Linked DNA regions of Arabidopsis thaliana. The protein of the gene in region 2 purifies or fractionates together with the protein of the main gene of each other region. This does not show direct contact. Each region holds a gene or a part of one and is shown on either strand. Other genes may lie near its edges.

What was found.
Region 1: the proteins of AT3G55540 (region 2) and AT2G03640 fractionate together in Arabidopsis thaliana (co-fractionation; one large-scale study listed by BioGRID). This does not show direct contact.

What each region holds. Positions count from the first base shown.
Region 1 is NC_003071.7:1,097,056-1,113,335, forward strand, and holds AT2G03640 (Nuclear transport factor 2 (NTF2) family protein with RNA binding (RRM-RBD-RNP motifs) domain-containing protein), read right to left. Parts: upstream 9,813-16,280; 5' UTR 9,675-9,812; exon of another isoform or gene 9,377-9,674; 5' UTR 9,364-9,376; coding exon 9,184-9,363; intron 9,097-9,183; coding exon 8,811-9,096; intron 8,723-8,810; coding exon of another isoform or gene 8,720-8,722; coding exon 8,523-8,719; intron 8,448-8,522; coding exon 8,297-8,447; intron 8,202-8,296; coding exon 8,080-8,201; intron 7,980-8,079; coding exon 7,914-7,979; intron 7,830-7,913; coding exon 7,470-7,829; 3' UTR 7,259-7,469; downstream 1-7,258. Other genes in the region: UPS3 (ureide permease 3), read left to right, coding at 239-466, 536-674, 751-904, 986-1,097, 1,189-1,578; AT2G03610 (F-box family protein), read left to right, coding at 2,015-2,191, 2,551-2,787, 2,911-3,147; MGT3 (magnesium transporter 3), read right to left, coding at 3,434-3,664, 3,744-3,791, 3,870-4,214, 4,289-4,417, 4,514-4,584, 4,672-5,113; AT2G03630 (suppressor SRP40-like protein), read left to right, coding at 6,150-6,904, 6,998-7,175.
Region 2 is NC_003074.8:20,591,451-20,606,477, reverse strand, and holds AT3G55540 (nuclear transport factor 2 (NTF2) family protein), read right to left. Parts: upstream 8,261-15,027; coding exon 8,027-8,260; intron 7,842-8,026; coding exon 7,574-7,841; intron 7,451-7,573; coding exon 7,320-7,450; intron 7,236-7,319; coding exon 6,864-7,235; downstream 1-6,863. Other genes in the region: AGF2 (AT-hook protein of GA feedback 2), read left to right, coding at 642-1,574; AT3G55550 (Concanavalin A-like lectin protein kinase family protein), read left to right, coding at 4,405-6,459; SDIR1 (RING/U-box superfamily protein), read left to right, coding at 9,290-9,370, 9,444-9,498, 9,577-9,629, 9,717-9,945, 10,043-10,154, 10,639-10,684, 10,849-10,968, 11,053-11,178; AT3G55520 (FKBP-like peptidyl-prolyl cis-trans isomerase family protein), read right to left, coding at 11,350-11,506, 11,594-11,686, 11,778-11,857, 11,943-12,076, 12,193-12,301.

The DNA.
Region 1 (16,280 bases), on a different chromosome or scaffold from region 2:
ACAAAAGCTTTAATAAGGTAATCTCTTTCAAGAAACCTAGTCAATAGGGAAATTTAATGGAATATAAGGTTTGAGTTTTATAGAGATCTTCTTGTATCAGCATGTGTCTTGTGTTAATGTTCTAAAGAACCTTTCTTAAGACAACTAGCTTCATTTTTATCACGAGAGATCAATGATATGATAACAGAAGAATCTCACTTCTTTACTTTGATGCAGTGGGATTTGGTGATTTTATAAAATGTATGTGATAGAGAGCAAAGGAGGAACAATCACTTGTATGCTCTTGGCTCTGCTCTTCTTAGGGACATGGCCAGCAATCATGACTCTAACCGAAAGACGCGGTAGACTTCCTCAACATACTTATCTTGACTACACACTGACAAACCTGTTAGCTGCAGTTATCATAGCGTTTACACTAGGCGAAATAAGTCCAAGCAGACCAAATTTCACCACACAGCTTTCTCAAGTCAGTTACACATACATTCATACACATATTTGTTGTTGGTTTTTGAAATGCAAAGTTTTTTTGTCACAGGATAATTGGCCGTCTGTGATGTTTGCAATGGCTGGAGGAATATTTCTTAGCCTTGGGACCTTAGCAACACAATATGCTTGGGCTTTTGTTGGGTTATCTGTCACTGAAGTCATCACAGCTAGTATCGCCGTTGTTATCGGTAAACTCTTCTCTTCAACTACTCTTAACTGATTTTTTTCCTCTGTTCTTATTAACTCTTTTGTTTTCAACAACAGGCACAACTTTGAACTATTTCTTGGATGATAGAATCAACAGAGCTGAGGTCCTTTTCCCGGGGGTCGCTTGTTTCTTGATCGCTGTTTGTTTCGGTTCTGCTGTTCATAAATCAAATGCAGCTGATAACAAATCCAAACTCCAAGGATTCAAAAGGTTAAAAAAAGATTCACTATACTAGGTCTTTGTTTTGTTTTCTTTTGGTTTGGTTTTTAACCTAATCTGATCTTGTTTCAGTTTAGAGACTACTTCTTCCTTCCAAATGGAAACAAGTTCTATAAAAGAAGGAAAAGCAAAAGTAGGGACTGCAGATTTTCTTATTGAGGTTGAGAAACAAAGAGCCATAAAGGTTAATAATAATACACACAGCATTTTCCTAAACAGAAATAACTGATATTCACTGATACTCAAGATTTGCGTTGACAGGTTTTTGGGAAAAGCACAATAATTGGACTGGCGATAACATTCTTTGCCGGTATCTGTTTCTCTCTAATCTCACCTGCAGTAAGCTTAGCGACAAACGATCAATGGCACACTTTGAAACATGGAGTTGGCACACTTTGAAACATGGAGTTCCAAAACTCAATGTGTACACAGCCTTCTTCTACTTCTCCATCTCTTCATTTGGGGTTGGTCTGATACTAAACATCATATTTCTCTATTGGCCTATACTTGGTCTCCCAAGATCATCTTTCAAGGCTTACCTAAATGACTGGAACGGTCGAGGCTGGTCTTTCTTGGCTGGATTTCTCTGTGGATTTGGTAATGGTCTTCAGTTTATGGGCGGTCAAGCCGCTGGTTATGCTGCTGCAGGAGCTGTTCAGGTTTAAGACCTCTTTTCTGTTCAATGATTTAAAGATTGAAAATAAACATTTTGGGGGATACTGCTGTTTGGAGAATACAAAAGATCATCAAGAAAAACATATACACTTCTTATCAGTATGCTATTTATGTTCATAGCTGCAGTCGCGGTTCTGATGGCCTCATCGGGACATCGAAAATGACTAAAAATGCATTCCACAGAAACATCTACAGACTAAAAGCTTCACAACTTTGGTTTATAAACTTGTAAGATACGGTACTCTTGTATGAAGGTAAAGTGAGCAACATGTTCAAATATATCATTGGTTAAATTTTAATCGATGGGTTTTGATGTTATATCGTCAGTATAAATATATACGTCTCGCATTAATTAGGGTTTCCGTGGTTCTTAACCCTAAATCCAAACATTAGGTCAACTAGAGTGTGAGGCACGTAAGCGCAGACATGGAGACGCCGAACGATTTGGTGAAAGAAGAGAAGAGACAAGGAGCTTCTGAAAATCAAGATTGGTCCAAGCTTTGTCCTGATCTTTTGCGACCGATCCTGGAAAGCTTGAGCTCTATTGATTTTCATCGAGCAAAAACCGTTTGTTCAGATTGGTATTCCGTTTGGAAAACATGCGTGAGTCAGTCTCTGCGTCCATGGCAGGTCACATACCTTAACGTTGTTTGATCACAAAGAAGACGAAAGTTTCAAAACAAGAGTCCTCCGTCGTCGCTTGAACGGAAGATATTGTATGGCTAGCTCCGGGAATTGTCTCCTACTGGTAGATTCTGGTCTCGATTTCTATATTTTGAACCTGTTAACGATCAAAACGATCAAGATTCCATCTATTAGACGAAAGGGCTGTAGGGAACACTCTTTAACGACGACAACGAAGAATGCAAAACAACAGCTGTTCTGTGGATAAACGAGAGAACAAAGGATTATTTCGTTGCTTGGATTAATTTTTCAAACAGAAATACTTGTTCTCACTCAAGAAAGGATATGATTCGAAGTGGAATCAAAACAGTGGAAGTATTTTCGATATGGCTTATAAGAACAGCAAGCTTTATCTGTATACTTTGGATCATCACATCAAGATTTATGATTTCTCTGGAGATTCTCCCAAAGAAGAAGGATTGACAAACCCGTATTCGAATCATCCATTTCGCTTCGATGAGAAACCGCAGGAATACATTTGGAAGAGGAAAATAGTGATTGCAGAATCAGGAGAGGTTCTTAAAATCTGAGCTTAAAAAAACGGAAACAAAAGGAGACTAATGAAGAGGAACTTTTGTTTTACATCTTTAAGATGAATCTTGAAAGTGGCAAATGGGAGAGAGTGCATTCTATTGGAGATGATGAATGAGATGTTGATCTTTGGTCATGGGGTTACAATGAGAGCACAAGTTCATGATGTTGGTGATGGAATCAAGAGGGATTCAATCTGTTTCGTTGAAGATGATCTTTGGCCGGATTTTGATCGTCCTTCAAATTGCGGTATCTTCAATCTTGCCACAAGTAGAATAACATGGCCTAAGAGATACGGTGTTTACATAGATCAAAAACAATGGTTTCTTCCAGGATTTGCTTAGTCTTTGTTTCACTAATGCATGTTCTTCCAAAGTTTAAGGATGACGGTTCAATTTTCTTCTCTGTCTTATTTTTTCACTAGTTTGAATTTGCTTCGACATAGAATGTGATGGTGTCTTCTGTGTTTTGCTTTTCTTTCTCTTAAACTTATTTCTTATCATTAATCTTAAACACATCCAGTTGTTTCACTATAGAGGTTAAGCCTAAGCTCAGCAAAAGACATTAGTTGTTCATCTTTACATTAGAAGCTACTACATGCGTCTTCTTCTTCTTCTCTAACATAAGTTTTCAGAGAGGGAATACTTTCTTGTGCTTGAAGTATAACACAAAACCAAAATACAAAAAACCGCATCCAATACCTGTTATCAGTAAAACATACTGGAAAGTCGTCGGATTCTGGAAAACAGAGTCTTGCAAATTCATCCCGAAGACAGCGGTTACAGCGGCAAAAATAGCTGCCACAAAGGTTGCCGCGGTGAGAAGCAGTTGAAACTGAATCAACTGATTCTGCACATTCCCCTACAAAAACATGGACAAAGTCAGAGACCCAAAGAGAAACAAGAACATGATTACGAGACTTGATTTTGTCTGTCCTTACCAGCTTAATGTTGATCAGATCCTCTGTATCATCTATATACTCTTTCAGCTGCAAACACAAGAACATGATCAAAATGATGAAACAACATGTAGTTGAGTTTAAAAGAAAGATTAAGAAGAATCTAACCGATGATAATTTGCTCAGAGTGTTATCAACAACGACAAAGTAAGCTTCTAGTAACATCTCTAGTTGATCAATGTTCTCTCCGATGCTAGAGGAGCTTAACAAGCTTTTATGTGAGCCAACAATGCTGCTAAAGGCTCTTTGAAGCTTCCCAAAGTTTCCACTTGTTGAGCCCACAGGTGAAACCGGCGCAGACTTCGAAACTATTCCAGAAGATTCAAAGTCCTCACCAATGTTATCTTCTAGCTCCTCTGACGCATGAGCTTCAGCTCTTTCTTTTTTCTCAGTCAAATACATCTCAGCCATGTCATCATCATCATCCATTAAATGCTCTATTTCATCACAAACCTGCAAGTTTTGACCTCCAAAATCAAATTATGGTAGTAGGGCTTTTTCAAATTTGAAGAGTCTTTTGTGTTCACCTTCTGAACTTTCTGTGTTAAGGTAAGAAGACGACCTTTTAGCCTGCGCACGTGTTCTAGATTAAGGGTGCTGATGTTTGTGGCTAGTTCATCAAGAACGGGATACACCTCCATCTCAAGCTCATTCACCTAAAAATCACGTTCACCAAAACTTTTGAGCTTAACAATTAGCTTAAAGTCATGCAATAAATCATATAGAAGAATGATGAAGAGAATGTGGCATACCTGTGCATCTAAAGACAAGCAAGATAGTTCCAAAACCAGCTCCAACGCTTTAAATTCAAATGGCAAATCATCTAAAACCAAACACATATAACAGTTTCATCAGCAATCTAATCTATATCATAACTCCAGACCACCAAAGCTATACCAAAACCACTGACCTTTAACATTTAGGTTGTGGTTTGATTGAAGGCGTTTACACAGTTCCGACTGGTACTGAACAACAGATGCATCTCGAGCATTCATGAGAATGACCTCTTCAGCTGTGATAATACACCTGATCTTCTCAAGACTGACAACTATCGCTCTCTCACGCCCCAAAATACTCGAGGGATAGATAAACAAAGGGTCAAGGAGTCTCAAATCCCTGGATGGTAAGGAACAACGCTTCATTATAGTCGCCTTGTCGAGCTCCAAAACCGCAGAGTTCCCATCTTGATCAATTTTCACCCAAGAACGACTAGATTGACCTCTCTTCTTAAGACCAGAAAAAGGATGCCCACGGTTAGTTTGTCCTTCGAAATTAACCGGTCTACCAATTTTTTGAGAAGATATGAAATCCGGAAGATTAGAAGCGGAAAATGGATCTAGTTGTTCTCCCATGTTTGCTCAATCCTCTCTTCCTTACAATTTACTAATGCATCAGAATCAAACTCTCACCATTCAAATGAACAGTTTCCAGTGAAACAGAAGGAGTCCAAGTAAACCTTTGGCCACAGTTTACAACCTGAAAACAACAAAATTTGACATGAAACTCAAATTCAATTTCTTCATATGATCTCTCTTGAAGAACCAACGAACCTGAGAAATTCACAGAACAAAAGACAATACTTTTCTAAATGGTGGAAGCTGCATCAAATTATCAAGAATAACTTCGTGTTTAAGTTCTTAAGACACTAAAACGAAGAAAAGTCACAAAATTTGCAGTTAAAGAAGATCCAATTCTCAGATTCAGTATCTTAATTCTAAGAATTCGATCCGTTAAAACTATCCAATACAAATCACACCGATCAATTAGGTCTACAGTATCCATATCCAATTCCAAATACATACCCGAAAAAAGCAAAGAATCCTAAAAAGGAAGAAACTTTCAAAGACCATGTTACAGTAAAGGGAAATACAAACCCTAGATTCCATAAAAACGTTACCTTTCGTTTACAAGCTTTCACTTTCCCCAAACAGTAAACAGAAGAGGAAGAAGATGAACAATGATGCTTTTTTTTTTGTTCTAGTATCTGAAGCCACGTGTTAAAAGTCAAGGCGTTTATCTATTGGATAGAACACGGTTTCTTAAATAGACCGTAACACAGAGGATCATTTATAAAACAGAACAGATAAGAAGACATGGCGCGAAATGCAGCCATGGTTTTGTTAGTTAAAGTTCCGAACTTTACGAGATACCTTTCGTTCTGTTTATCTCCAGACAACGAACCAAACCCTAGATCCCCTTTTCCTCATCTTAATTTTTTTCTTTCTTCCTTCATTCTCTCTAGCAAGAAAAAGAAACGAAATTTCACAACTTCACTCATCAGGCTCTGGTCAAATCGATTTCAAGGTATGTTTTTTGATGTTATATTTGTTCGAATAGCCCGAGAAATTGCTTAAAATGATGCATTGATGATTGCTTCTCCAGGTGTTTATGGAGTCTAAACATGAAGAACATGTGTTATCCAAACAAAAACATGATCAAGATGTAAACAAAAAAGGTTCATTAGACGACGAAAATGGAGATGTTGAGCATAAAACGATACCTTTACAAGAAACAGAAACTGTAATTATTAACTCAGAATCACATTCAAGATTATCGTCGTCTTCGTCATCTTCGTCTTCTTCTTCTTCGTATTTATCGCCACCGAAAGATCTACCTGAAGAGGTACTAAAAGAATCATTGAATGATCCGGAGATTTCTTCACCACCTGTTCAAGTAATGGATAGAGATAACAACGGAAAATATGACCCGAATAGGATTCCATCTTCGGTTTTCGAGAGAAGCAAATCGAATGTGCCAGCTGAATGGAGCTGCACTTCGAATGAATCTCTCTTCAGTATTCATTTAGGAAACAATAGTTTCACTGGTTATGGTGGTGATTTGATGAAATCAGGTGAACTTTATAAATCCGGTGAGTTACTTGCGTATAGTCCTGGACTTCCTATGCCGCCTGTACCAGGATCGGAACCAAAACCCGTAGTCGAAGAACCGAAAGTTGTTGAATCAGATAAGGAAGAGAAAGTTGTACTAGTAGAAGAAACACATACATCATCATCAGATGAAGAAGAAGGGAAAAGAGAAAGCCATGAGAAAGAACAACATCCTGCTGTTTCTTGGAAAACTCCTACAACTTCTTACCGTTCTAACCGAAGCTCAAACAGCGCGCACTCCTTCTCTTTCCCAATGTAAATACACTCCATCCATGACCATGGCTGACAAACATTTCCTCCCCTCGGTTTTAATGAAAGTTTCTTGCTTTGCTTTTTTGGTTTTTACAGTTTGGCTGGAGCTGCAAGTGATTCAAGAAAGGTAGAAACGGAGAAACAGAAGGAACAAGCAAATCAGTCACAAGAGTCACAAAAACCAGTAGCAGATGCAACAAATCAGAAGCAGTCAATGTGTAGGTGCTTCTCATGTTTTCCTCAATGTCCGTGGTGTTGTTCTTCTTGTTCTTGATTCTGTTTTGATGTTTGATTAGACAAAAACAAAAGTTGTGGAGTTTATCTCCTGTAAAGAAAGTATGTAGGTCATTAGAACCTTAAATCAATTCGATTTTGTTCTCTGCTTTGTTCATGAGAAGATACAGAGATCAAAGAGTGAAGAAAAATGTTCTAGATTTATCCCCAAACAATATCACAAATCGAAAAGATCAACACCTAAGATATCCACGGAAACAAAAATTTGTTTTAACATCGCCTACAACCTCAGATTCTCAACCATGAGCAAAGCTTAGAAGAAGAAAAAACTAATCTAGTTTTTGGCCTCAGTATTGCCATGGCCATTGTTCTGGTATGCTTTACCATCCCCATTAGACTCACTGTTCCGTCTCCCATAGCCTCGTCCTCCATTGACGCCACTGCCCCTAGGTTTGTATCCATCACGTCTGAAACCATCCTCATTTTTATAACCACTGTTGTTTCTTGTAGAGACTCTGTTGCCATTTTGATTGTTACCTCCTGCATAATCCAGAAAAAGTAAGATTAGGATTTTGTTTTTACATTTAATTAAAGTTACAATCTTTGAGACAACAATGCCTTTCAGAAACTTGCCTCGCTTTTCTTCTATAGATGCTCTTCGGTTTCCGATTCTGATTGGTGATTCCCTGTGAGCCTAGAGTTGTGCATTTGGAGATCAGATAACAAGAACTTCAAATTACATTATAGCCGAGAGTTTGATATGCAAACAAAAACATACCTGAAAGACATTTTTTACTGCTTCACCATTTTCGAATGCCACAAACCCAATACAGTTCTTTTTTTCCTGAAAATTCACAGATTTTTAAGCGTGTGATTGAACCAGTTATAAGGTTTTTCAAACTTTGCAAATAATTTTTTTGTAGATCATTGAAAGAATAACTAACCGGGTAACTTCTGACTTGGATACCATCCTTTCTAATAGCTCCAAAACTTTTAAATGTTTCATAAAGTTGCTCAATAGTCGCATCCATAGGCAAGTTTGCAACAAATATGGAACTACCCTGAGCTGATACGTGAAAAACAAATAATCAAATGAGACAAAAGCAAGTAGAAGAATTTTCAAATTCATTGTTTTTAACTATTAAACAATGAATAACCAACCTTGTGGTTTAATGCTTTCAGCAGAAGCCTGTTTACGAATTGGGGAAGGAGCTTTGCGCTCCGGAGCAGCAACCGGTTTTTCGACAGGTTTACGCTTGACCGGCGAGGCTTTAACCTGTAAAGTACCAGCGCTTTGAGCCAGAGATTGAACCTGTAAGTTTGAAATCACACCAACAGATTAGAGGATATTATACGATAAAAACTAAGCACAAAGGAGGAGACTTACAATTAATGCAAACGATTTCTTGGGAACCTCCTCTTGAAGTTTTGCTTCAGCAGCTTTAGGTAAGCTACTGTTTTCATTCACAACTTTCTCCTCAGGGACTTTCGCATGTCCGTTTGGTATGGCACTTGCTGGCTTCGTCACCGTAGTTTTAGCTTCAGTAGGGACAATAACCGCCTCTACACTTTCATTTGCAGGCTCTGCTAATCAAAACCATTACCACATGAATCAAAACAATGTCAAGGTGGTGAATATTTTCAGATTCTTGAAACCATTGGTAAAACGACTTACCAGTGATAGCATTTGTTGACTGACTCTCCTCAACCTCCTTGGTAGCTTCTGGTTCAACAAACTCATCAGACACATACCTAAAGGTATCATTCAGCACAAAGTAGCTTCCATTCCGCGACACAAGAAAGAAACTCTGAGAAAATTTCCTCCTTCCTCCATCGTTCCCGATCACTAAACCCGTGACTAGAGTTACAACACCATTCTTTAAAGTTGATTGAGAATCAGCAGTTAGAATCTCGATCCTTGAGCTTTTGTAGTCAATGGACATTATCTGATCATTAATCCCCTGCAAACACGATGAAACATTCGTCGAATCAATACTAACAACAATAATTCAATGAGACATACTATGAAAGTGGCTAAAGGAACTTACTTTCAAGGATTTGATAGTAACTATCTCACCATCGAGACCAGGCCGTGAAATCATACTATCCTCGAGATAGAATTTGTGTACTTCCGAGGTTGAATCATAAAGGTGGTTATAGTATTCTTGAACAAACCCATTGCCTACAAATTGTGGATCTACTGAGGGAGCGTTTGATTCAGGTGTCATCTCTGCAATTTCTCTAAGACAGTCTCAAGCAAAATCGAATCAAACAAAAATTCACAAGAGCTCCAATCTGCATAACTTAGAATTGTACTATGTGGATCTAACTTTATAGTACGAAATCTATTAGCTTATTGTAATTGCAAGTACACATAGTTGGTTTCTCCAGATATTATATATGTAAGGTTTGAACTGAACTTCCATAGATCTATAACTAGTCGAGTTTGAGAAATTGAAAGGTATAAACTTTGCTCCAATACAAAGATGGATTGAGAGATTGGAAAATAAGGTATGAAGTATGAAGCAGAAGCAATTACCTGATAAATTGGAGAAGACAGGAGAATCAATCGCAATTAGAGTGAAGGAGAGAAGGAAGGTGAAGAAACGAGTTTACTTGTGGTGTTTATATATGGCTTCTAGGGTTTTTTTTACAGACAAACTCCGACCAGAATTGGGAATTTGGTTTTGGCCTCTCTTTTTTTTTGCTTATGCTTTTTTTTTGTTTTTTTTGCAACTTTTTGGATATTTTTTCAATAATATTTTGTCACGTAATCATATCCTGTTTACAATTTAGTGAGGATTTTTATTTGATTTGATTAGTTGTTCTTCTAATTTCCAAATCCTAATTAGTTTTTTTTTATTATTATTATTATTGGTTTGGGATTTTTGAATATTGTTCATAAATAATAACAAATATTATTTTGGTTTCGGAAAAAGAACAAGATGATTGGATGGATTTGGATTTAGTTTTGGACTAATATCATAGAATTTTATAGGTCTTTGATTTTGATTCGAACGGTTAATTTGGTTTTGGTTACTTGATTTTTCGGGGTTTTTGGAAAATAAAGCATTTCCTAAAACGAATTGACTAATAATTCGCTTTGTTCAGTTCGAACATGGTTTATTCAATTTTTTTGGTCTGATCACTAATCAACCAAACAACAAGTTAACAACAATGACGCATAAATTATGAATACAAAAACAACTCGGTAGCAAACCTTAATCATCATGATTCATGATACAAAAAATACATAAGTTGTTCTAAAAGAACATGTCACTTGACAAATGACAAAGTACCAATAATCCATTTTGCCTCAGTTCTTATAAGTGTATTTGGTATGTTGTCACTATTTTGTAGACGCTAAAAGAGAAAGAGTTTGTTGTACAAAATATATAAACAGAAAATATATATGGCTTCTAAGATTTTTTTATAAAGACAAACTCCGACCAGAATTGAGAATTTGGTTTTGGCCTTTTTTCTTATTCTTTTTTTTTTGCAATTTTTTGGATATCTTTTCAATAATATTTTGTCACGTAATCATATTATGTACACCATGTTTACAATTTAGTGAGGATTTTAATTTGATTTGATTAATTCTTTTTTTATTTCCAAATCATAATTAGTTTTTTTCTTCTTTTTATTGATTTGGGACTTTTGAATATTGTTCACAAACAATAACAAATAATTTATCGGTTTCAAAAACGAAAAAAAATGATTGGATGGATTTGGATTAATAACATAAAATTTTATAGGCATGCAATTTTGATCCGAAAAAGTTAATTCTGTTTCCGTTACTTGATTTTTGTTTTTTTTGGAAAATGAACTTTTTCTAAAACGAACCGATTAATAATTCGCTTTGGTTCAGTTCAAACATGGTTTATTCAGTTTTTTTGGTCTGATCACTAAACGAATGTAAAATCAACCAAACAAAAAGACGCATCAATTATTAATACAACAACAACTTAGTAGCGAACCTTAATCATCGTGATATATACAAAAGATACATAAGTTGTTCCAAAAAACATGTAACTTGACACAAATGACAAACTACCAATGATCCATTCTGCCTAAGTTCTTACAGGTCCATTTGGTATGTTGTCATTGTTTTGTCGATGCCAAAAGAGAAAGAGTTAGTTATACAAAATAAATAAAGAGAAAAGACAAGCCTTTAAGCCGCTTAAAAATCTTAATGCATTTGTCACCTTGTCTGTTGTGAAAGAAAATAAAAATATATTACTGATTAAAAGAAAAGGCTCTCACAGGTAAATGAATGACAAAAAAATATATCAAATATACCTCAATTTTCAACTCCACGTCAATGAGCAACTAATGATTGTGTATGAGTACTCTCAGAAGCTACACAAGGCAAATAAAATGTAGTTGAGTCTATAGATATAAAAATAACAACAAAAAAAAACTGAAAGATAGAGAGAAAATGAGTACTTAAAGACTCATAAAACTTTAATTCTTCGAACATCTGAATCAGGTTTGCTAACTTCTCAACTAATGATATTCATGAGCCATTGCTGAATGCAAATCAATGATTCAACCATGAGTGGTGACAAGCAACTTCAGAAAGGATCCAAAATACGACCACTAGTGTTGAATGCAGACTCTAAATTGAGAAAGGAGACATGTATGACAAGCACATCTCTTGTTAATTCTGCAAAGATTGCAATTTAGAACTATTCCTCCTCCACCATCTTAAGACATCATAATCCAATCTCAAACCACTTGTAATTCTTAGCACATATTTTTCAAGCAGGTAAATGTCAAGTTCCTTACTAGATTCTATATTTGTAGTCTCTGCTACCATCTTAGTGTACAAAGAGTCCATCATCTCATAACCATCATCATTAGATTATACCAAATAGAGGATGTCACTTATTTAAATGTTGAAGAGGAAAGAATGCAATTAAAAAAGATTTTCAGAAACTTAACTAACATTTGCACTTCATCCCAGCTAACTAGCAGAAGATGGAGGACCAACATGTTTGCCATCATTATCATCATCAGCATCATCATCTTCATTCTTTTCTATAACTTATCTTCAGCCAACATCTTATCAAATGCACCTCTAAACGTGATTGCAACTGTGAGCATAAGATAAGTCGAATTCCACCTAGTAACAACATCTAGACATAAGTTTTATTTACTTACATTTCATGCCTCAACCCTAGATTTAAAGATTTGAGTCTTTCACTCGATGACCTCACATACTTGATTGCATTTTGGATAGCCATTATATTATGATTAGCTTTACATATCCCATCTTTGACTATCAGGTTTAAAATATGAGCGCACCAACGCATATGAATATACTCACCACTTTGAACTAATGCATCTAGAACTCTCACCATCAAATCCTCTGTGAATAACCGTAAAGCTTTGCCATTTCCCTTTGCATTTATCTACACTCATTGTGAAGACTTTCTTGATGCCCAATTCATCTAGACAGCCAATCAAAAGTGATGCAATGATATATCATTTGTGATCAATGACATGCTTGAAGCTAATGATCCATTTCTGTAATTTCCAATATTTATCAATCTAGTAAGCTGTCACCACCATGTAACTACAAGAAGTTGTGGTAGCTACCCAATATCTGTTACCAATGACACTCTCTGTTTATCCTTATCAAACAACTTCTTCAAAGAATTTTTCTCTTGGAAAAACATTCCATAACAATCTGAAGTGGATGTCTTCCTACAATGAACCATGTACATGAGAGATTGTTGGCACAAAATCTCCTAAACCTTTCAAATTCCACAAATGAAAAAGGTAACTCATTAAGCATTATCATCTCATTCACAGATCTTCTAAACAACCCTTTATCATACTTGATTGTTATCATTACACCACTGTTATCTCGAGCTAAAACTTTTTGACTATCACTTTCTTCATACACCTTGGATAACTTGAACCATCTGATGTGATTGGTCATTGCACTTGTTCAAGTTTTGACTATGTCACACTATATCTCTGTGCCACAGTATCGACAGTTGCTTACAGATATATTGTCTTCCTTTTAAATAAAATGCTTCCACACAGATGCTCTATGAGCTGGGTTTTTTCCTCGGTTTTGTTGAAATAATCGAACTTGATATCTGAGATTTTGTTATTTTTTCTCCAACAAAAGAGGTATGTGGACCATCTTCTCCATCAATCTCTTCACTAAGAATGCCATCATTGTTGTTTTCTAATGAATTAGAAGCCATCTGAGAATTAAAAGAACAAACAATTATATTAGACAAACACATAATCAAGGACAAAATTACATAATCAAATGAAGAACAACACATATTAAAAAGTTAACAACTAGAAAAATACAAAATAAAATGAGGAACAACAATTTTAAAAAATAATCTTTAATCTCTTTATCAAGGACGATATGTGAATCTATGACTCTTAAAAAGAATAATGATGATTTAACGTTCATAAACTAAATTCTACATAAAGTTAGAGAGACATATATTACTGTTCGTCAAATTAGCTTAGACATTCAAACAAGGAGTTAAAGAATCTGCGATCTCATAATCGTTTCAAGACAGAAGAACTTATAGTGAAAAATGATGATGATTTGAACCAAAAATATCGAAGAAACAGATGATATAGATCAAAGCTGCTTTTCTCGGATTCGCAGTCTGAGAGGGAGAGAGAGAAAGATTAGGTTAGCGTTTCTGTTTAACAGCTAATTACTCGGTCTAACATTTGTATACTTAGTGTTAATTATACAGTCTTGTTGGAGAGATTTTGACACTAAATTTGGTTGTTTTGGTGTCACGTTGAGATGACCTTAAAATTGTTTATATACCATTTTTGTTTGATTTTTATGCCTTTTCATTTTGTGGTATTTGTTATTATTTAATTTATTGTCAAAATACATTTTATTTGATATTTTTAAATGGTTTACAATATAATGGACTGAGACCGCCTAACAAGATGGTTGTAGATATTTAAAACAAATAAAACAAAAAGGCCGCAAGGCCCACAACCCAACAAAGAAATCGAGGCCCAAAATGGTTGTAGAAATTTGGTTTAGCTATCAAAAGGTTCAAGCGGCTGACAATAGAATTTGTTGTCTGTCCAAAACAAACTACCATAAGCTTATATTGCCACGAGTACTCATTCGGTATTTTTTTTAATATTCCTATTAAGATTTAAGCTGTAAATAAAAATAAATTAATACAATTCAGATCAAATGAAATATTAAACATGAGCACAAAAAACAAAGTTATGACACTACTTACTAGGCTTGTCAATTTGAAGCAAAGCCCGAACGTCTCGCCCTAAATGAAATATTTTCTCTGTTCTATGGACTTTGATGTTTTGGTTTTATTATTGTTCCACAAAATTTGATGTTCTAAATTAATATTATTTTATTTTTATTAATCCTTAATAGAGAAAAGAGAGAATTAGAGCTAATATTATTAAATTAATAATAATAAAATAATATCAAAATTAGTTTTCTTAATTTGTGCGAAAAAATTTCAAACATCGTTCTTTTATGAATAGAGGAAATATTAAACTTGACCACAAAAAACAAAGTTATGACATTACTTACTAGGCCTATCAAATTAAAGCAAAGTCTGATGGCCCCGCTTGATAGCTCTACTACTTACTACAAAAAGATAACTATGTATGTGTAGTAAGCAAACCTTTTCTTTTTTGTCGGCTTGTTTAAATTATTTTGAGCTTGAAAAAGAAAATTCATGTTTTTACTTAATTTAAATAATTTTAACTTTTCATATTTAAAAATAGGCAAAATATTAATAAATAAAAACTAAAGAACAATTTTAATTATCATGTTAGAAAGTTCACATTTTTTATATTTTTGAATGTTGTAGAATTTTAACCCTTATTCTTTTTCCTTTATTTTTTTTGTAAATAATATTAGTGTGATAAATGATTTGAAAAAATTGTCTGCTTTAGAGAAGGAGAAATGGATAAATAAGTTTGTTATTTAAAATTGTCTAGACAAAATTTTGTTCAGAACAAGTTATTCTCTAGAAGAAAGATTTTTGATATAATGACAATATCATATCATCACAATCATCTGTTAGCTATTCAAGTACCTTGTGGACCCAAGGCGAGATAGGCTCCCAATCAATCTTGCTCCTTTCTTCAAACAAAAGGGTCAACTGTTATCGAGATAGGCAAGAGAACGGATAAACCAAGTTCATATAAATCCAATATCAATCAAACAAATCTCTTATTCACTTTTCCATGAGGATCCAGCTCAACCAAATTAATGCCTCCTTTACGTAGCTCAACCAATCTTTGCGAATTGGTTGTGGTCCTGCCATTGACTGTGAATATTTTTTCCTTCGTGTATTCATCAATATATACACCACCAAATCAAAAAAGATCTGGCACCATGTCATAAATGTAACTCTTTAGAAAATGTATTAGCTAGAATAACACAACTAATCATAGTAAGCAGCTTATGATACTTTTAAAAAAGATCGGTAGACAAATCATTGAATAATCGGAGGAGTATGATTATTTGCTACATGGCTAAGTCCAAGTGTTCTCTCTCAACATCCTCTAAAATAAGATCAACAAAAAAATCAATCGCTCTGAAATTGAAAATTTGAAAATTTCAGTTGAGAAAAAGTAAAACAAACACAAATTCAACTCAACTGGATCAGATTTAACTATATATGACCATGTCTAGCTCTTGCAGATTTCTGAGCCGTTAGAAGTAAGTCTCGATGAAGGAGTTCTCGAGACAATAGGCTTTGATTGAATCGATAAAGAATTTTTGATGTTTTGGATTACCAGTTCCATCTATATCTCTTTAGGCATGTCAAAATTCTTTTTACAAATAACTCGGCGAATGCGATGATATATAAATATTTTAGACATAATTTTTTTTGTACAAGGAATGTATCTTAAGTTCTAGTTTAACACCGTATTTTTCTTATTAGATTCAAAAAATAAATTTTATATATTGTAAATTTGAATACAAATACACACAAAATATGTATATACTAGGATATGCTCCAAGGTACATAATAGGTCTATATGTTATTTAAAAATGTAATGTTAAAAATGTGATGATCATATAGCTATAAAAAAAAATACAATTTATTTTTTAATGTATATTTATATATAATATTGTTTACGATAAGTAGTTTTT
Region 2 (15,027 bases):
CTTTTTAACGTACGCATGCTCTCAATATTTTCCAAAGTACAATATAGAAAGAGACGGTAATAATAAAAAGACTTCATGACTTTCAAAGTACAAAATCCTCCTCCCCTGCCAAAAAAAAAAAACCCTGTTGGGTCTATCTTTCTCTCTCTGTCTTCTACTTCTTTTGATTTTAACCTTTTTTCAGTAGCAAGCCAAAAAAAAAAAACAGACAAAGAAGTTCCTTTTATGATAAAGGTAAGTTTTTTATATTCGAATGGGAAGATTTTTGTATCTTTTTTTGGAGGATTTTATTTGGTTTTTTTTCCTTATTTGATCTTAGCTTTTTGGGGAATATTGCTTTAAGGAAAATTTATTTTGTGCGTTTTCTTGTTCTTCTTGTAGATCTGATTCTTTTTTTTTCCTCTCTCTCAGGTATGATGATAGCAAACAAATGATACCCCCATGTCTTGTGTGTCTGCTTCATGCAACATGTTGGTTTGGATTTGGTTAATCTAAAAGTTTAAGATAAGGTTTTCGGATTCTCTTCCTGTCTTGTAATAGTTTCTTGTCGGAGAGCCATCAACACCAACTTCAACAAAAAAAACAAGAAAAAGAAAAAGATTCTCTTTCTCGTTTTATTTCCATTAGAGAAGAAAAAAAGAATGGCGAATCCTTGGTGGGTAGGGAATGTTGCGATCGGTGGAGTTGAGAGTCCAGTGACGTCATCAGCTCCTTCTTTGCACCACAGAAACAGTAACAACAACAACCCACCGACTATGACTCGTTCGGATCCAAGATTGGACCATGACTTCACCACCAACAACAGTGGAAGCCCTAATACCCAGACTCAGAGCCAAGAAGAACAGAACAGCAGAGACGAGCAACCAGCTGTTGAACCCGGATCCGGATCCGGGTCTACGGGTCGTCGTCCTAGAGGTAGACCTCCTGGTTCCAAGAACAAACCAAAGAGTCCAGTTGTTGTTACCAAAGAAAGCCCTAACTCTCTCCAGAGCCATGTTCTTGAGATTGCTACGGGAGCTGACGTGGCGGAAAGCTTAAACGCCTTTGCTCGTAGACGCGGCCGGGGCGTTTCGGTGCTGAGCGGTAGTGGTTTGGTTACTAATGTTACTCTGCGTCAGCCTGCTGCATCCGGTGGAGTTGTTAGTTTACGTGGTCAGTTTGAGATCTTGTCTATGTGTGGGGCTTTTCTTCCTACGTCTGGCTCTCCTGCTGCAGCCGCTGGTTTAACCATTTACTTAGCTGGAGCTCAAGGTCAAGTTGTGGGAGGTGGAGTTGCTGGCCCGCTTATTGCCTCTGGACCCGTTATTGTGATAGCTGCTACGTTTTGCAATGCCACTTATGAGAGGTTACCGATTGAGGAAGAACAACAGCAAGAGCAGCCGCTTCAACTAGAAGATGGGAAGAAGCAGAAAGAAGAGAATGATGATAACGAGAGTGGGAATAACGGAAACGAAGGATCGATGCAGCCGCCGATGTATAATATGCCTCCTAATTTTATCCCAAATGGTCATCAAATGGCTCAACACGACGTGTATTGGGGTGGTCCTCCGCCTCGTGCTCCTCCTTCGTATTGATTAGTTAGATAGGCGGTGGTTGGTGCGTTCTTTTTACTGGAATGATTATATTTTCCATTAGGATGGTTAGGCTTTTGTTTATTAAAGCTATCAAGTTTCTTTTTTTTTTACGGATAATTCGGATGACAATTAGCTAGTGTTTGTTTGTTTGTTTTGTGGCGGCTTTTCTGACTTGACTATTTTGATCGCGGATAGCTTTGTATGAAAGTGAATTGATTGTAGAATCGTCTTTTGAATTTTGATGTTGGAAAAAACCAAGCAATGGTGTGTGGCCTTTGCAATGGAAGCAATTACGACTATCATTCCTTTCTTAATGTCGGTAAGTAAGTGTGATTCTTTTCGATATTCTGCTGTTTGTTAATCTGTGTCTTTTAATTGTTTGATACCTTTCTTAGATCTTTACTCTTCAGTCTTCATACTCTTACTTGTTGAGGCTGATTAGATTAGATTAGCTTTTTGTATTTGGCTCTATTACTTTGTTCTTCTTGAGCTTGTATGCATTAAGGAGATATGCAGGAAGATAGTTTAAATATTCTGCATTTTGAATCTTTAGTGCTTTTGACATAAGATTAGAGTACAACACTGGATTCTAGCTTTGCGGGCGAATAATGTTGTTTATCGTTTATGTACTTAGAGACTTGTAGCGAAACTTTATATTTTGCTAATAGAAAGTTTATTTATGCTGCATTTTGAATCTTAGTCCTTATGACATAAGAATAGAGCAATACAAAACCGGATTTTAGCTTTGTGGAGGATTAATGTTGATGAGGTTTTATGTGCTTAAAAGAGACTTGTAGAGAAGCTTTCTCATTGACATGTGTTTGTTGTTTTACTCTTCTAGTGAGCATTGTTTGTTAGCTGAGGAATTTCAACAAAGTTGATTTCTTTGGTCCCAAAAAGCATGATTTATCAAAACTGTGTTTTTCCCAAAATGTTTGGATCTTTGGCATTGTCTCTGGTCTTAAATATCCCTTTTATGGTATATCAAAAAAACATGAGTACGGAATATATGGTCCCATGATGACTAAACTCCGTAGCAATTTTGTATGTCAACGGCTAAGTACAAATTTGTTTTTCTGTTCACCGCTACTTTTGTGACATAATAAGGTGATATTTGTGAAAAATTGTTGTCCTTGTCCCGGTTTCGAATTTAATTGTTTTGAACTCAAAACAGTAAATTTAGAAAATTTCGCTCATCTGAATTTGTATTTCTCTGGTACATTTTCGTTATTAGTGGAATAGTGGTTATTGTCTTATTGATATGAAAACTAAGAACTAATTCGGATTTAAGGTTTAAGTGTAACTATATATCTGTACTTCTTGTATACAAAATATTCAAAACCGAGTGCTCGAGTTGCTAATAGGAGAGGATATCTAATTTCTTGGTTCAGATTGATTTATTTTGTTTGATTATAAAATAATGTGGTTAAATTAGGTTTAGATCTTTTGGTACGGATTCAGCTTCTAAGTTGGCCGGCACAATGAGGAGTTTACTGAGCCAATTTCGACCGACATAATTCTCCACTATGTGCTTAATGAAGAGTTATGAAATATAGAAAAGTTTCGAATTTTGTGATTATTCACTAAATTTTTTACTTAAGCATGTTCCTAGTATATAATATTCGTTATTTCATCATCCTACTATTTACATTTCAATATCAACCACAATCAACGGAAATCGTAATCCATTTTCTTCAGCTTTTATTATCTTTTAACCATTTTTTCCAACAACCCTTTTTCTCGAAGGACTTTTATCCTTAGTTTGGCCGTCAATCATCAATCCAAAACATAGACTTATCTCATTTCTTTTTTGTTTTTCCAGTGTCTTAGTTGATTGATTAATTGACTTTTTCTTCCTATCCAAGAATATTCTTCTTACTTATCGTTTCTGAATGATAATTTGTTCCAATCCAATAATTTTCAATGTCAAGTGGATCATTTACACAATCAATACTACATCTGTATAAAAACTTGAGTCATGACGATACTTTAGCTACTTAGCATATCTAATTGATGAATATTTATCGAATGGTGAAAATATATAAAGTTATTGGTTTTAGTATAGTACTTATTCCAAGATATCGTCATTGGTGCTGAACCACATTACTAAAATTGTGTCCAGACTGTAATGCTTTTGGAGTTACCCAACAAAATTATGTATTTACAACACTAACTAGATTTTAACCTGTGTAGGGTAATTTATTTTTATTGAAAACAAATATATTTTTAAAAAACAAATATAGTCACCATAAGATTGAATATCGATCGGATCTTATCAATCCAAAGATGTAAAAGAAGATAGATTATTTGGAGTTTTGATTTAGTTAACAAATTTTAGTGCGAAAATTATCATTTATACCGTTAAGAAAAATTAAATTATGAAACATGATCAACCCCCGATAACCTCTAGTAATACAGTTGTATCCGTCGGAAGAAAAAAAAGAATTATAAGTGGAAACTGGTAGATCGTTTGATTACTACTTATACAGTTATACGTACTTTCTTATCTATTAAACTAATCAATACCGACGATCTCAATTGATATTAACAACACCCAGAACCTATAATTATGGTACGTACTAACCTCGTATAATCGTAGTTTAATGGTAGATTTGAATTCTCTGTTTAAATATTAGATATCATAAAGTATCATCAGTCTAGAAATAATAACATGTTCCTGTATCACCAACATTATAAACAGTATCACATGCTTTCGTATCCTCACCATCTTCTTGACCTATCCTCCAAATAGATCATATATTAGAACTATAACCCTAGTACCTAAGTAGCCCTTACTCTTTTTACTTCTCTCCCAAGAAAACAATTCTTGATGTCTCAAACCTTTGCTGTCATCTTGTTACTACTCATCTTCTTAACACACTTAGTTTCATCTCTAATTCAAGACTTCTCCTTCATTGGCTTCAAAAAAGCCTCACCAAATTTAACGTTAAACGGAGTTGCAGAGATCGCCCCCACTGGAGCAATCAGGCTCACAACAGAGACACAGCGCGTGATTGGTCACGCTTTCTACTCCTTACCAATACGGTTCAAGCCAATCGGTGTAAACCGAGCTCTGTCTTTCTCCACGTCTTTTGCAATCGCCATGGTTCCAGAGTTTGTTACTCTTGGTGGCCACGGACTTGCCTTCGCCATCACTCCAACTCCAGATCTCAGAGGTTCTCTTCCTAGCCAGTACTTAGGCCTGTTGAATTCAAGCAGAGTTAACTTCTCTAGCCACTTCTTCGCTGTGGAATTCGATACTGTCAGGGATTTGGAGTTTGAGGACATTAATGATAACCATGTAGGAATCGATATAAACAGTATGGAATCGAGTATTTCGACTCCTGCTGGCTATTTCCTCGCTAACTCAACCAAAAAGGAGCTTTTCCTTGATGGTGGTAGAGTGATTCAAGCTTGGATTGATTACGATTCAAACAAGAAAAGGTTAGATGTTAAACTTTCTCCATTCTCAGAGAAACCAAAGTTGTCTCTTCTCTCTTACGATGTTGACCTATCCTCTGTTTTGGGAGATGAAATGTATGTTGGATTCTCTGCTTCCACCGGTTTGCTAGCTAGTTCACATTACATCTTAGGTTGGAACTTTAACATGAGTGGAGAAGCATTTTCTCTGTCTTTGCCATCTCTTCCTCGGATTCCTAGTTCAATCAAGAAGAGGAAGAAGAAGAGACAGAGTTTGATTCTTGGAGTATCTCTCTTGTGTTCCCTTTTGATCTTCGCGGTTCTTGTCGCTGCATCGTTGTTCGTGGTAAGAAAGGTGAAAGATGAAGACAGAGTTGAAGAATGGGAGCTTGATTTTGGTCCGCATAGATTTTCTTACAGAGAGCTCAAGAAAGCTACTAATGGTTTTGGGGACAAAGAGCTTCTCGGGTCTGGCGGGTTTGGTAAAGTATACAAAGGAAAGCTCCCGGGTTCAGACGAATTTGTAGCCGTCAAGAGAATCTCTCATGAGTCAAGACAAGGTGTACGAGAATTTATGTCTGAGGTCTCAAGCATTGGTCACCTCCGGCATAGGAATCTTGTTCAGTTGCTCGGTTGGTGTCGAAGGCGGGATGATTTGCTTCTTGTCTATGATTTCATGCCTAATGGAAGCTTAGACATGTACTTGTTCGACGAAAACCCTGAAGTTATCTTGACTTGGAAGCAAAGATTCAAAATCATAAAAGGGGTTGCTTCCGGTTTACTCTACCTACACGAAGGATGGGAACAAACGGTTATTCACCGCGATATTAAAGCTGCAAACGTTTTGTTGGACAGCGAAATGAACGGACGGGTAGGAGATTTCGGTCTTGCTAAGTTATATGAGCATGGATCGGATCCGGGGGCTACAAGAGTGGTTGGCACATTTGGGTACTTAGCACCAGAACTCACAAAATCCGGAAAACTGACAACAAGCACCGATGTTTATGCGTTTGGAGCGGTTTTATTGGAAGTAGCTTGCGGAAGAAGACCTATCGAAACAAGTGCGTTACCAGAGGAGCTTGTAATGGTTGATTGGGTTTGGTCAAGGTGGCAAAGCGGAGACATTAGAGATGTTGTGGACAGGAGATTGAACGGTGAGTTTGACGAAGAGGAAGTGGTTATGGTGATCAAATTAGGGCTTCTATGCTCAAATAATTCACCCGAGGTTCGACCTACAATGAGACAAGTAGTTATGTATCTCGAAAAGCAGTTTCCGTCGCCTGAAGTTGTTCCTGCACCGGATTTTCTAGATGCAAATGATAGTATGTGTCTTGATGAGCGCAGCGGTAGTGCAGGCGAGTTTGAAGATTTTGTGGATTCAGCTAGGTTTTATAGCGGACCGAATGAAACTACTACTTCGTCGATATTTTCCTTCTCCGGTAAAACAAGAACTGATCCAAGATAATTGGTTCTTTTAACCATGTTTTAGTAACGTTTCAAGCATAATATTTCACCATGAAAACAAGTAATCTGAATGTTAAAATGTAAAATATTTTTATCATATGCTGTTGCTTAATATTTTGAGTTGATCGTTGGTCTCAAATCTTGTGGTTAGCGTAACCTGATTTTGAACAATTCATTGCATAAGTTCAAGATTACAACACGAAATAGAGATAAATCATTTTTCAGTCATAGTCTCATAGAACAAATATCTCGGAACAGAGAACAAGGATTCTTCTATGAGAAAAAAAGAAATTTATAAAGCTCAAATAAAAAGAACATAGACGAATAAGGTTTTGTATATAAAAAAAGGACATAAAGGAACAAAATTAAATGCATTTAAAAAAAGAACAACACTAGCATAAACTATTAGTGGGGGTAATTTTGCGTGTCTATGTTGTTAAAATAAGAGAGTAGCTTCCCCTTCTTAACCATGAAGTAAGGAAGCTCGACATCAGTACTAGGTTTTGCAGCGGACTGGCTCGAGCTTTCAAGTGTGTCTCGAGGGGTAACATCAACATAACGGAGGATGTCATTGTAGATGACATAAGACCCATTGTGACAACGTGTCACATAGAAAAATTGCAAGAACTTTCTCTCTGTTTTGTCGTCTAGAGTCACGAAACCGCAAACCATGATAAACATTCTATCTTTAAAGGATCTGCTGATCTGATAATCCACACTATTCAATATAAAATTAGAAGCCCTCTTATGCTCATTTGAGACCCTCTTGTTGATTGCCTGCACCAAAAAACTAACCCCTTAGATTTATTCCACTAAAATTTCTCTAGAAATACATTGGAATTAGGAACTTTTGCAACTTACATCGAGGCCAGGCATCTCGACCATTGTTCTACCAGAAGTCGAAGTCGGTCTGCTCATAATACTTTCATTGACATACATCAAACCAAGTTCCTCACGCATAGGCAACTCGTAGTAAACCTTGACAAATCCAGCTGCAAAATCTGCTTATATATATAGTCACACCAAAACTAAGTTAGTAAGTTTTGTAATCTCATGAAGCTAAACACTTACTATTCTAAAATTGAATATCAAACACAATTTATACAGCTGTTTACCGGATTCAGGAACAGAAGGTAATGCTGGTATTGAATCGATATAGCGGAGGAAATCATTGACAATGGCATAAGACCTATCTTGACGACGAGCTAAATACAAAGATTGAACAAATCTCCTCCTCACTTGTTTGTCTTTACAAGTCAAGAAACCAGTAACCATGATAAATGCTCCATCTTCAGAACTGGTATTGCAACTCTGAGCAGCAAAACTCATCACATCAAACGAAGCACCTTCATAGTCGCATGAAACGATTTGCTCCTGAATTGCCTGCACCATCAAAAAATTGTTTGTCCTTATAAATCGTTTACAGCTTTTTTCAAGTTTATACGTTTTGAAAACGTTAAAAATATAACTAAAAGAATTATTGTTATAAAATATAATTACTCCCAACCAGAACATCAAACTAAAAACAGAAACTCATGAGAAAGATTTGATCTGATTAATGACAATACCTCAGGCGATGTAAAAGACATCATTGTACCATCAGGACCGGGTCTAGTCATAACACTGTCGTCGGCATACCACATCATCTGAACTACCTCGGGATAGACTCCTAGATTCAGGAAGTAAGATTGGAGAAAGCAATTGGCTAATGCTTCGGAAGTATTTAAGTTCGTGAAGTGGGATTGAATAAAGCCATTGGCTAACAATACGGAAGGATCAACATCTTTGATCATGGAATCCATATCTGCACCAGTAATTATGCCCTAGGGGAGACGAAGAAATATCCAAAGTAAACCCTAGCTAGATATCAAAATCTCTTAAAAACAAACTTATCTCTCTGTTGAGATCAACCGCTGATCTATAGGCTAAAGGAATCACCGGAAGAGAGAGAGAGAGAGGAAAGAGGCGGAAGTTGTGACTTGTGAGACGGTTTGGATTTTGGAAACCTACGTTCCATTGAACTTCTTTATATATTGGTTTTTCATTATGGGATATAGTAATATCTTTATAAAAAAAAAAAAAAAAATTATATATATATATATATCTTTAATACATTATTAAATTAAATAATATACGGATAGGAATTACTATAAATCTTTATAAAATAAAAATAAAAGGAGAAGTCCCTTTTATCTAATTTGGATGGTTAATTTGTGAATTTTCCATATTTATCTAATTTCGATTTGAAACATATCCAACGTTAAGTCAGATTCTTGTGGTGAAATTATTGCATCATAACATAAAGTCATGAGAGTAGGAGAGAAAGTAATAAGTGGCAACATCAAAACGACGACGTTTTTAAGCTAGTGCGTCAGCAACAGTTAAACCATATGAAGTTAATGGTCTGTGTTAATGAAGACAAAAACTATATCCTCAGGTTAGCGATAACTCGGTCCGAGTCGACTCGGTCCGACAAGCGATTTTCGTGACTCCGTCGTCACCACGCCTATGTTAAGTGAGTAAATCCGACTCTTCTCCGTAGAGATTTCTCCTACTTTCAGGTGAATTTCTCCTCCGATCTCTAGCTCCGTTCAATTTTTTTGATCCATGAATGAAACCTTCTCATTTTCAATCTCTTGGCTTATGTGAAAAGATTCGTGTTATTGTTTTGTTTGGATCAGCATAGGGTTTAAATGCCTCTCCTTTATTGCTGTGATCAACATGGTTTCTCGAATTCTAGTTTATAGAGTTTTGAATTAATTTGATAGAACCAAATATAGATTCAGTGGCAATTGTTTTCTTTTGCAGGCTCTCTTGTGAATTTGGAAGACATGAGCTTTGTTTTCCGGGGAAGTAGAGGAGATTTAGAAAGCGGATTCTCGGGTGGTTTTCTACCCGAAAGACGAGCTATGGTATGCTTTCTTGAAAACATATACAATGGTTTTTGTTAGAATGATACTTATTGCAAGTGTCTTTTGGTATCAGCGTGTTCATGGAGCTCGACCAGTTAATTCTAATTCCCTCGCTTTTCTGGTTACAGGTAAATTCAAACTTTCACCTTCTATGTTATCTTCAGTTGTGATGTTGTTAATACTTGTGTTTGGTTTGTGTATTTCAGTTCTTTTGCTGTTTATGATTCTCAATTCGCATCAGATGCCTCCTAATTTCCTGGTATGATTAAATACGTGAGTTAAAGTTTTTTCCTTTTGAGTTAGTCGTCTTTCGGGTGTGAGTTTGACATTTCCATTAATTTTGTAGCTGTGGCTTGTGCTTGGGGTGTTTTTGATGGCAACGACGCTTAGGATGTATGCTACTTGCCAACAACTTCAAGCTCATGCTCAGGCTCAGGCTGCAGCAGCAAGTGGCCTCTTTAGCCATACTGAGCTGAGGTTGCATGTGCCTCCTTCCATTGCTCTTGCTACGAGAGGGCGTCTTCAGGGACTTAGGCTCCAGCTGGCTCTTCTTGATCGGGAATTTGATGACTTAGGTCAGTATCATCCGCTTGTTCCTTTTTATTAGTCTATAGTTTAGTAGTTTGCTTTCTATGGTTGAAGTCTGAGACAAAAGTTGTTCTGCTGCAACAGATTATGAAACTTTAAGAGCACTTGATTCTGATAATGTTTCCACAACTTCTATGAGCGAGGAAGAGATAAATGCACTTCCAGTTCACAAGTACAAGGTGTTGGATCCTGAAAAGTGAGTCAATATTGTACCTTGTTTCTCTTTTAACAGTTTAAAATGCTTTCAAATGTGGAAACATTGAGGAATTAAGAAAATAGTAAGTTAGGATGATGTGATATAGCAACTTGTATAGACCTTAACTTCCTTAACAGGGGAAGGTGGGGTGGTAGAATATACAACTTAATAAGTTAGAAACTGATATTGTACTTAGGTTTATTGTTTGCTTTGCTAAACGGAACATGTAAGGTATTGATTGTCCATTGAGTTACTAAAGATTTGTTTTTCAATAGAATCTTCTAAAATCATGAGTTCCGTTGATCCCATCACTTCTTTGGTTAATCGTCAGGCGCTAGTTTTATTGTGGAATGAACATTTAAAATTTGTTACTGAGTGAAACTTTTCTCAGTTTTCATAGCTCAACGCCTTTTTGTTTTCTTTCTAATTATTGTGAATGAATCTGTATTCATGGTTTTTGTCTTGCGTTCGCTTTTGTTGACAGTGGTTGCTCTTTGGCAAAGCAAGCGTCAACCTCATCCTCAGCTGAGGTATATGACATATTTACATTTCCCCCCACCCCACACACAAAAAATAGCCGATATACAAAAATCACATTTGAACTGGTCAATACTCATATGCTCGGTAAAAAGTTCTTGCTAAGTGGCTAACAATGTCTTAATTTTTCATGTCGTTTTCCTCTTATTCAAAGCAGAAGATGCTAGATTCTGCCAATGAAAGTAAAAAAGGAACAGAAGATGAGCTCACATGTAGTGTTTGCCTAGAACAAGTTACCGTAGGGGAAATCGTTCGCACCTTACCTTGTTTGCATCAGGTTTCCATTTTTACTTTTATCTTAAACTGAAAATCTTCCAGCTCTTTACTGTGTCACGACTCAGACATATATCCGTTTGCTCAGTTTCATGCAGGATGTATCGATCCATGGTTGAGACAGCAAGGAACATGTCCTGTCTGTAAATTTAGAGCTCATTCAGGATGGCAAGAACAAGATGAGATTGATGATGATGCTTCCGACATGGTTTGAAAAGTTTGGTTTCGAACACTTGTTTATGTTATTAATGTGCGTGCGAATTAAACCCCAAACAAATCATGTAATGGTCAATAACTCAATATGATGTAACTGATGACTCTCCCTTTCCAAAAGTTTGATTTAGATTCATCATGAAATAGTAGTGACAGGTCTTTTGCATTCGACTTATTTAGCTTTGCCTTTGCCTTTTCCTTTGCCTGGACCTTTCTTAGCGTCTAGCTTAGCTTGAATCCTAGCAGCTGCAGCAGCTTTTGCTTCTTCTCTCTTTTTCTTATCATCCTCTTTCGCAGCTGCAGCAATCTCTCTCTGCTTCTTCAGATCTCTGCAACCATGAAGCAAAAAAGTTTTCATATTTACACACATGATAACAAGTCAAAAGTTAGGTCCAAATGGTATTTATAATACTTACTCTAGCCTGGCTCTCTCTTCAGAAACACTTCCAACACTAGCACCTTTCCTCGGTCTACAAGCAACCAATTCCACCTCGAAAATCAAAGTTGCACTGCAATTACCAAAAATCTCAATTACAAAAACAAAAAAAAAACTGTCACACTCCCTTGAACGAGATGCAAGAAGTTTGGAACATAACATACTCAGGTGGGATGTCGGGAGGAGACCCGGCTCTTCCGTAAGCATATTCTGGCTTACATGTAATTTTTGCAACTTCTCCAACCTGTAAAAAAAATCAAATCAGTTGTATATAATAACTGAAGCGTTCAGATTATAAGGATAGAAGAAAGACTCAAAATTGTAGAAACCTTCATGGTTTTAAGAGCAATGTCCCAAGAACGGATAACACTGCCTGTTCCTAACTCAAAGGAGAAAACAAGATTGTCTTCGCGAGTAGTGTCGAAAACCTTTTCGTCTTCAGCCAAGATACCCTCATAATGAACTAAGTTAAAATCAAACAAGGTTATGGTCCTTCATCAACACATATAATTAGGAGTAGCATAAGCAGTAGATGAACAATATATTGACCCTGATCACTAGTCAATCTTAAGAACATACCATCGACAACAGGAAGATCATCAGAGGGTGAAATAGCATCAGGTTTGGCACTCCTTACAATCTTTTTCAAGACGCCACCATCTCCACTCAAATCGATTGCATCACCCATAGCTTCAAAGGTTCAAAGAAACCTAATTCACATAAAAAACAAACCTTTTCATATAAAATAACAATTACTGGATAACTGGAATATAAACAGATACGTTTCAGTACTCATAAACACATACACAATTACATCAACTAAAGTGTAGAATCATTTCTGAGTGAGTTTATCATTATCTCAGCTCACCAACACAAAATCAGTAAAATCTTATAAATTGAGTGAATGGATAGTTCTGCAGATAAACAAATATATGAATTCAAAATCAAACAGCAGACGAATCGTAACTAAAGGTGTAAGCTTTAGATTCTCGAACTCACCCGATTCGAAGAAAGATGAATAGTATTCGATCCGATACGAAAACGGAAGAAGCAAATGTGTAGTGACGAAGTGATAACCGGAAAGAGATCGCCGTAGAGATCGGTGGCCATAGACTGTCCAAAGAGTATCGGATTTTTCCTAGAATCGGCTTCTTCTTCTTCTTCTTCTTTCTCTAATCCGATGCTTTTGACGTCACGTGTTATTGTTCTCTAGGGACCGGTGCTAAAATTCATATTTGTAGCCCATTAGGCCCATCATGTTTTCAAGAGGTCTTATCTATTTAACTGAAGAGCAACAACAGAAGTTAGCCCATTAGGCCCATTATATTTCTATTGGCCAATATGCTGCTCGTTCTCTTATTTATTTATTTTTGTCTTAAGACTAAACAAATCTCACGTCAGTTGTCACTTTTTAAAAAATTATAAGTTGTAAATTTGTAATCTCCAATAATTAGGAGTGAACTTAAAGTACAAAAGAGTCCCCAAAGTGCAATTTAACAGTGAAAGTCAAAACGGAATATCGTCGGCGTGTTGTTGTCTAAGAAGAGAGAGCTGATAAACAAATCAAAATCAAGCATGCTAATGAACAATCAATTTTTTTTTATAATCATTTATCATAGATCCCTTCCGATTTGTGGGGGATGGCTCATAAAGTCTAGTTTTCCAATCAGTGACTAAACTATTTTAATTTGTCTCTTTATACATAGTGGAATTGAAATATACTTATTATATACTATCTTTTTTATAATTGTTCAATGCCGCCATTACTCTTTTCTTAAGTATACACAATTTAGGAAAAAAGTGTTATTCACCGTCGCAATGATCAAACATCCACCATATATTGAAAATTTTAATAGGAAAATTAAATCGGACCCATTTGAATCTCTATATGTTTAAAGGCAGCCAATTTCTTCATAGAGAGGTGTAGGTATAATCCATAAAATTTGTAGACTATAAATAACGACATGACTTGAATATTTAAACCCTTCTTGTCAAACTTGATTAGTCCCAAACTTGTATGTGGTGTGCTATATACATGAATAACAAAAATATAATTTAGGATGGTAGTTGTACATAATTCAAAAACTGATGTGAGCAGATATGTTGAGATAGTGGTCATATATATATATAGAACACCCAAAATTCATCTGTATAATCATTGCCAGAATAATTGAAAGATTCTTAATTAAAAAAAAAAAAAGAGATCATTGAAGGTCAAACGTTAAAAAACCTAAATTTTTTGAAAACCTACTAATTAATCGTAATGTCACCACAAAGCTAAGTATCAAAAGTAAAACAATAGCTACATCGAGAAACTCGACGATTAGAAAAACACGAATAATGTAGTACAAAGGAACAAAGAGAAAAGATTCCAACACACTCAAATATACACCTACATAATTTATTTTTTCGATTGTATCATGTATAAATGACAAATGTAAAAGGTATTCACATGTTTTTTTAAAAAAGTTCGAGAAATTCAGATCTAAGTCCTAATTTTTGTAGACATGGGATCATTCTTTAATTAATATATTCCTTTTAAGAATACCGGGTCCTCTAGGTGGACTCGAACTAGATAATTCTCTTCTAAAGAAACTGCTAAACCAAAAATCACTTAATCGGATGACGAAAACATATAGTTTAAAGTACCAATCATTCTTTTCAATCTAGCCTCCCAAATGCGAATCCCAAAATTGTTGTGCTACTGGAAAATATCATTGAACGCGATAGTTGCCTTGCACTTGTAAGTGAAAAAAAAAACAATAAAATACCTCTATGTAAACAAATAAGTTGATGAGAACTATCTAGAAACATATTTTCTATAAAATATCATCACTTCTTCAGCAGTAGCTCGATGGGGAGGACTCTAGCAGTAGTGACATTCTTTCTTAAAGAAACTCCATCGTTCTAGCACCAGCTCTGTTTATTTAATCATTTATTTATTGTAGCTATTAGCCTATTAAGAACAATAATTAATCTGGTCATAGTGATTACAATGGAAATTGCGGGACCAAATATTACGTAGTGGTTTTATAAATCTGAATATGTGTTCTTGTTTAAAATATTTCTTCTTGTAGTATTTAAGAGGCAGCTATTTCATGTAATGTTGGACTACGTAATCCAGAGCATAATCCATTGTATAAAATAAGTGTCTTCATATTTATGTAAGCTAATCTTTGTTTCTGGCTAAAAAGAAGAAGATTCTTTGAATTGTATTACTTTAAAAAGATAATCTTTTATACTTCGCATGTTCAATCCACTATAGTATAACAACATTATTCTTTTAGAACATTTCGAAGTTACCATAATTGTCCATTGACTTCAATGATGTTCGAAAATCCTAATCACATTTGATTTTTTTTAGATTTGAACCCTTTTGATTATATTTTAATAATCTTTACTCTAGTCTTGACA